2 linked regions of the Lepisosteus oculatus genome follow. Each later gene encodes a partner of the first gene's protein in a complex. Links are inferred from orthologs where the notes say so. Each region holds a gene or a part of one and is shown in the gene's direction. Other genes may lie near its edges.

The links. Proteins that work in one complex are often made in the same cells at the same time.
Region 2: prpf8 (region 1) and prpf4 share a complex: the UniProt entries of both Homo sapiens proteins name them as parts of the U4/U6-U5 tri-snRNP complex. The link is inferred for Lepisosteus oculatus from reciprocal best matches to the Homo sapiens genes PRPF8 and PRPF4.

The regions. Positions count from the first base shown.
Region 1 is NC_090721.1:8,662,577-8,666,326, forward strand, and holds the start of prpf8 (pre-mRNA-processing-splicing factor 8), read left to right. Parts: upstream 1-1,135; 5' UTR 1,136-1,283; intron 1,284-1,719; 5' UTR 1,720-1,731; coding exon 1,732-1,831; intron 1,832-2,836; coding exon 2,837-3,005; intron 3,006-3,383; coding exon 3,384-3,548; intron 3,549-3,750. UniProt on the Homo sapiens protein: Plays a role in pre-mRNA splicing as core component of precatalytic, catalytic and postcatalytic spliceosomal complexes, both of the predominant U2-type spliceosome and the minor U12-type spliceosome.
Region 2 is NC_090719.1:270,847-274,596, forward strand, and holds the start of prpf4 (U4/U6 small nuclear ribonucleoprotein Prp4), read left to right. Parts: upstream 1-1,268; 5' UTR 1,269-1,352; intron 1,353-1,409; exon of another isoform or gene 1,410-1,553; intron 1,554-2,335; exon of another isoform or gene 2,336-2,430; 5' UTR 2,431-2,455; coding exon 2,456-2,618; intron 2,619-2,809; coding exon 2,810-2,996; intron 2,997-3,110; coding exon 3,111-3,198; intron 3,199-3,294; coding exon 3,295-3,374; intron 3,375-3,750. UniProt on the Homo sapiens protein: Plays a role in pre-mRNA splicing as component of the U4/U6-U5 tri-snRNP complex that is involved in spliceosome assembly, and as component of the precatalytic spliceosome (spliceosome B complex).

The DNA.
Region 1 (3,750 bases):
GTGTGCAGCCCCACCTGGATTCTAGCAGACATAAGAGAATAATAGTCTCTTTAATTAAAAATTACTTTCTCCTTGAGGGTAGAATCTATCTGCCATAATTGTCTGGGTGTATTTATTATTGCACGTTTTTCTAAAATATTGTAGGTACCAATTTTGATCTCAGGTAGTAGGGGAATTATATTACTATGGAATGTGGATTTTTTTTTTACCAAAGTCAGAACATCTGGTGGAATTGCATCTATAATTGTCATATAAATGTCATATTTTTAACAAAATCACAAAATTTATTAACTTCTCCATTAGCCTTCTCCAATAGATGCACGACTGACCAAATACCTTTATTTAACCAGGATTCATAAAATATGCTCTTTTTTTGCCAGATATATCTGTTGTTCCATATAACAGCATTATGAGGGGTGAAGTTATGGTTATATGATCATTTCCAATATAACAGTACTTGTTGATGAAAAACAAAAAGTCTGACTGGGAGCGTGTTTATGTCAAAGTCACATCTCAGCAAGAGGTCAAAGCCTCCTATTTTTCCCATTACTTTCCTAGGAATAGCAAACCTGAAGCTGTCTTTATTATTCATAAAAGAACGCAACCATTTTATCGTTAGGGTACCATTCATGATATCAATGTCTATCATTTGGGCACCACCCTCTTCAGATGATTTCAATCAATTTAATTTTTCTTGTATAATGTTTTTTTTCCAGATGTAGGGAAAAACAATTGACACTTTTAATTATTGGGGTGGAGAGGGAGATTGACGATGCTGGGAAAATGTTTACTGTTTATTTACTATAATAATACGCTCTAAAGCGTACACTCTACAAAGATGGCGATTCAACGAACTGCATAGTGACGTATATCCTTGTTTGAAATCTCGATGGTTCCTATCATTCTCTCTAGCCCACCTCCTACCTCACTGATTGGATAATTATACCCGCCAATAAAATGTAGTCTAAATCATTTTCCGGGTAAACATCCGGGGCTTTGTACAAAAGGTCACGCATTAACGCTTACGCTTTTGGCGTTGGTTGCTATCGGGTATTCTATTGCAAACACAGCACAAGAGCTACGGAAAAAACGTAAGTGTTCTTCGCGAATACTTTCGTAGTTTGGCATCGTGCGGTCTGCGTTAGTCTGCGCCATTGTGCCTGGTGGATGTTTAGCAGCGGAGAAAGCTGTGGACGGATTTGAATAAAATATCGTTTAAAGGAATGATCTAGAGATTGCATAGGGACGGATTTTACATATAAATAAAGTGCCGTGGACCTGAGGTAGGTAACACTGGTGATGAAAGAGCAGTTTTGCAGCGATTGGAAAAGTTGCAGGAGCTGCGCTTTATTTGGCCTAGACTGTGGCGCAAACTTGTGAGCTGGTCGTGTTGTCGTGTAATCCGATTTTATTTTTCGTGTAGTTTGTTTTTCCCCCGTGGGGGTCATAATAAAGACGAATGTCGGTATGTACGCAATATGATCGCCCATGGATTTTGTAATCCAGACAATCGGTGATCGAACTGTTTACAAATTACAGCGACTTCCTGGCGTAAGTGTTGCCACTGCCTCGGTTGATCTAGAATATGCTGTTTTGGCGGGGGAGCTCGATGTTTATTTCCCGTGAACACGTTTTTGCGCGTTTTAGAAGTTACACCGAGCCGCGTACACGCCACACGGAGAGCAGGAGCTAACATCGCTGTTGTTTGCCCGGTTTCAGGTTGGCGTCACCATGGCTGCTGCTGCTTTTCCGTACCGAGCAGCACCAGGGACGATTCCCACTCCGGGCCAGGTGCCGGACTACATGTCTGAAGAGAAGCTGCAGGAGAAAGGTGAGCGAGGGGGGACACTGGAGGAGACACCCTGTGTTAGTGTGGCTCGGAAAAGGGCCGTGTCTGAGTTGAGGGTTTGGATCAACTGCTTGAACGGCAGACGTAAACACTCTCGCTCGAACCTGACGCGTGAAAAGCCAGCGTGTGTCGGACAGTAGTTAGGGCGATCTTGCCAGCTCTCAAGCAGAGTGCGGTTTATCTGTGCTGTTTTTGTTGGGTTTGGAGACCTTGAGAGAAAACCGGGCTGCTGCTGTTGTAAGTGGTGGTGGTGGTGGTGGACCAGTGCTCTTAACTATAAGCCCAGCATGTCCAAGCCAGCCCTCCCCACTGTGGTGCCTGGAGATCTGTACTGCTCCATTGGCCAGGAGCCATATTGCCCTGCAACTCACAGCTGGCAGCCCACTGGACTGGGCAGTACCTGGATGGGAGACCTCCTGGGAAAGCTAAGGTCGCTGCTGGAAGAGGTGTTAATGGGGCCAGTAGGGGTGTGGTCCGTGTGAGTGCTAATGCCCCAGTATAGTGATGGGGACACTAAACTGTAAAAAGGCACTTTCTTTCGGGTGGGACTTAAAACTCTCTGTGGTCATTAAAAATCCCAGGGTATTTCTAGGAAAAAGTAGCAGTGTTACCCCAGTGTCCTGGCCAAATTTCCCATTGGCCTTTACCAATCATGGCCTCCTAATCCCATCTCTGAACTGGCTTCATCACTCTGGTCTCCTCCCCACTGAGAGCTGGTGTGTGACGAGCAGACTGGTGCACTATGGCTGCCGTCACATCATCCAGGTGGGGCTGCACACTGGTGGGGGTGGAGGGGATCCCCATTACCCCTTAAAGCGTTTTGAGTGTCGTGTCCAGTAAAGCTCTACTGCAGTGTAAGGAGTTATCAGTTATTCTTTAAGATCCCACGGCACTGTTGGTAACAGCAGTAATATTGCCCCTGGCGTCCCGCAAGGGGGTGCAAATGCAGCTGGTTGACAAGACACCCCGTTGTGTTCCCTGCCGCAGCTCGGAAATGGCAGCAGCTGCAGGCGAAGCGCTACGCGGAGAAGAGGAAGTTCGGCTTCGTGGACGCCCAGAAGGAGGACATGCCCCCCGAGCACGTCCGCAAGATCATCCGCGACCACGGCGACATGACCAACAGGAAGTTCCGCCATGACAAGAGAGTGTATCTGGGGTAAGGCAACACTCGGGGCTGCACATCTTTCCAGCAGTGCTGTCTTTGGGGCTCATAACCCTGATTCCCCTGAAGGTTACCCCCCTCCCCCCAATGATCTGTATGTCTTGAAGTGTGTACTCCTTTGGAATATAAACTGGAATATTGTGTTGGAATTGTAAAATTGCTATACTATGTGCACAAGTGTAATGAGGATCTTGAAAGGTTTTGAAGATCAGACATTTTCTGCATGGTGTGAAATCCTATTCATTTGTTAATCTTTTCTTACTTGTGGATTCAATTCCACATTGACCTCGGGTACCTTAGACAGGGGCCTGCTTGTGTAATGGAAGGTATAAAATGGCTTTGTCCCTGATGTCCCGTGTCTGTGCTGCCCAGCGCCCTGAAGTACATGCCCCATGCTGTCCTGAAGCTGCTGGAGAACATGCCCATGCCCTGGGAGCAGATCCGGGACGTGCCTGTGTTGTACCACATCACTGGGGCCATCTCCTTTGTCAACGAGATCCCCTGGGTCATCGAGCCCGTCTACATCGCACAGTGGGGGTGAGAGAGCTGTACAGCTTGCCAGCACTACGTGGATTTCCCTTAATGAGCACTAAATAGAGTTACTAGAATTATTTATGGGTTCTGGGTGTCATGCTGGTTTGGGGTTTTGTGAAGAAACAGTCCAGCATTTAGCATGGCCTGAGCAAGGTAGAATTTCATCTTGCGGATTTTGGAACTTAAATGTCCAAGGATTTATTTT
Region 2 (3,750 bases), on another chromosome or scaffold:
TATCCAGCGGCCCGCAGAGGAATCCTACTTCATTGGGCCCCTGAGCAAGGCCCCTGGAGCAAGGCCCCAGCTGCTCCAGGGGCGCCGTATAAATGGCTGACCCTGCGCTCTGACCCCCAGCTTCTCTCCCTGTCTGTGTGTCTCATGGAGAGCAAGCTGTGGTATGCAAAAAGACAAATTCCTGATGCAAGAAATTGTATATGGCCAATAAAGTGATCTTATCTTATTACTTTAATGCACTTTATTGCTTTCAAAACTACTTTATTAATCCTTTAATAATTTCAGAATATATTATACCTAGGGTAGGATTTTAACAGTTATCAAACTGTGCTGTTCAGAACTCAGTAATTAGCCGGCCTATCCTGCATACTGCCTCGCTAACGTATAAACATCGGTGCCTATAAGGGGCAGCACTTGCATTAATCTTAGCCTCTAAATATAATAAAACCAAGTGTTCGTAACATTCATTAACTGAGATAATACTTTGCTACAGGTGGGAATATCTGACGAGGCAGCTCAAACCGAGGTACCTAGCTCTCGCACGGCGCTCTCCGCGGACCGACCAGCCTGCGCTCACTCGTCCCGGACGAACCGGCGTTGCTGCTGAAAACAAAATAAAGACAAAATGAGAAAGGCAGCCGGGCGTCGTCATTCGTGCGGTGAAGAGGCTGCCAGCGGCCCGGCTGCAGAAGCAGGTCTGGAGGACAACAGCAACAGTCAACCAAGTTTCGAAACTTCAAATTACAAGTGTTCCTTCACAGGCCGCCAGGCACGGAATAAACACATTTACAGGAATTGGGACTTCTTCTTATTGCAAACATACAGTAAATAATGGACGTAAAGTAGTCCTAAACCCCACATACCTCCTATATTGTATATAGACCCCGCTGAAATGAACGGTGAACCACAAAAGGAAGCGCACCCCCTGTAGATGGGATTTGTAGTCTAATGAGACTTAATCCAGATTGCTTCCTTTGTACAATGAACTACATCTCCCAGATAGGACTACAGTGAGCCCCTTGTTTCATGAGTTAGCGGTTCATATTGGGGCACATGATGTGTCAGAACAATGCACCATCTCAAGTGATAGATATATCTTCTGTAATATATGTGAGACTAACCGATGGGTGAATTTTACATTTAGTTGGAAAAATATGTTTTGAAATACATTCCTTAAGTCTATTAGGCCTCCCGGCCGACAGAACGCGCTGTCCGTCCGGAATGGGTTGCTACTACAACCAGTGACGCAATTTCCGGCTCCGGTATCGGTTTGTCCGCCTGCCACTGGAGAGCGCTCGTGCAATACTCGCTTCCTCTCGCCAGCATCGCGGTGGTTTCGTCTAGGAGTTCAGGTATTTGTAACTTCAATACATTTTCATAATAGAAGCGATTAATTGGCAGTTTCCGCAGTGTGTGTGGGGTCCACGGTTCCTGGAGCAGAGCTGGGGTCAGGTCTGCAGGGTTGCACACGTGTTTAAGTCCTCAGATCTGCTGCTCCGTCTCAGCGCTGATATCTGTCGCACTGCTGTTCGGAAACACCGCTCCTGGACACAGTAATGATGTGACTTTTCTTCAAGTAGCTTCTCCTCTCTTCGTGATATCCTCAGAGTTGCGTAGAAATATTTGAATTCGTCCTGTTTCCTCGTTGCGCTGCCTGTTTGTGATTCTATGGGAAAGTAGACTTACTTTTATTACATTTCTTAAGGAATTCAACGTTTAATTTGGCTGAACGTGAAAACTAATGCGATCGGTCTTGATGTCTCTGGGCCGACAGTTATTAACCTTTGCTGCCTTGTTTGCAGTCTGGCTCCCACTGCCGTTTAACATAGTTAACTATAAGACTTTCTGATTTCTTAGAAACTTGATTTAAATCCAAGCAGTTATGTTTTACACGCACTTAAAAAATACATTAACAGTACAAATCAACTATACTCAAAATAAACAACGTTATATTAAACGCATCGACTCATGCTGTGCATAGTCCTTACACACCCTTGCTACAGGACCTGTGGACCTGTGAGTTTACGCGGCCACTGTCACCCTAAACACCTATAACAGCACAAAACCCGTTCATTTTGCTGCTTTACATCCTCTCATTTGTTAATAGTGGACAGAAAATGTGATGTGATGTTACAGGTCAGTATTTTGTCCTGATAAGTCTCATGTGAAAGGTATTTCATGACTCTTGGGTCGACAGCGATGTTACAGGTGACCACAGACCTGCTGACTCCCAGTGCCCTGTTCTCAGTGTTCACACAGAGGACACCTCCGGCCTGGGGACCCTTCTCGCCTGTCCTGGGTGAAAGTGTGTTTGTGCGTCTGTGTGTTTGTGTAGCTGTGATCCGGACCCCGCTGTGTGCCGTGCGGAGGGTGCTGTCCAGGAGTTTGGGGAGACGTGCTCTCGACTCTCTTCCTTCTCCCTGTGTCCAGTAAGCGGTCCAGTGGCTCGAGCACGATGTCGGACGAGGAGGACGTGCCCGCGGTGAAGAAGTCGCGCATCTTCTATGGCAGCCTGGAGGAGCGCGAGCGCGAGCGCCTGGGCCGGGGCGATGCGCGCGGCGCCAGCAGGGAGGCCCTGAAGGCCGGCATCGAGGCCGGCAACATCAACATCTGCAGCGGTCAGTGCGCAGTTCAGGCCTACAGCACACAGCACAGCCCCCACTGGGCCGGGGCCTGTAGCTACCGCGTGTCACTGACGCTGTCGGCTGTCTGTGCCAGCGCCCCGAGCGGGGCCCCGCCTGTGTGCCAGCGCCCCGAGCGGGGCCCCGCCTGTGTGCCCGGCGCTGAACGGTGCCCTGTCTGTGTTCAGGCGAGTCTATGGAGCTGGAGGAGCGGGTGAATGAACGTCAGGCAGAAGTCCTGGCAGAGTTTGAGCGCAGGAAGCGTGCTCGGCAGATCAACGTCTCCACTGATGACGCGGAGGTGAAGGCCTGCCTGCGCGCCCTGGGGGAGCCCATCACGCTGTTCGGGGAGGGGCCCGCCGAGCGCCGGGAGAGGTGGGTGCAGCAGGGCAGAGGTCAGCCGAGGGGGGCGCAGTGACGGTGGTGCCAGTCTGCGGGGAGCGTAGCCCCAGAGATCACGGCTGAGCTGAAGCCTCCTCTCTCCTCCAGGCTGCGGAACATCCTGTCGGTGGTGGGAACTGACGCTCTGAAGAAGTCCAAGAAGGAGGACGACAAATCCAAGCGGTCGCAGGACGAGGTACAGGAGCAGCTGGGCAGGACAGGATTCTTTTATTCTTTTCACTCTCTGCTCTTTAGTCTGAATAACCTCCCTCTCTGTCTCTCATGTTCTCAGTTCCAGCAGACCTGGTACCATGAGGGCCCAGGCAGTCTGAAGGAGGCCCGTCTGTGGTTGGCCCGATACTCCCTACCCAGGTGAGAAACTAGGGTGTTTACACTCCTCAGTGGCATCTAATCCTGCTTCTAGATGCACTGCAGCATGAGAGAGTAGCAGGTTGTGTTATACTTAACCTGCACACTAAATACTTTTCATCTAGAAAACTCTTGTTTTATATCTTCTCGTGAGAACTGTTGTGCGCATTGTTGCAGGATGTGCTGATTGTACATGTAGTGCAGCCTGTCTGGGTGTCTCAGGTTGGGCTGGCTGCTGTTAATATAACACTGCTGATTGCTGTCGGAGGCTTTGATTGGAAGCGCACTGGAAGCTCAGCTGTGGAGACATAAAAGAATTCATATCGCCCCCGACCGTGTAGCCCCTCTCTGTCTCGGAGTAGCAGCACCGTCAGCCTCT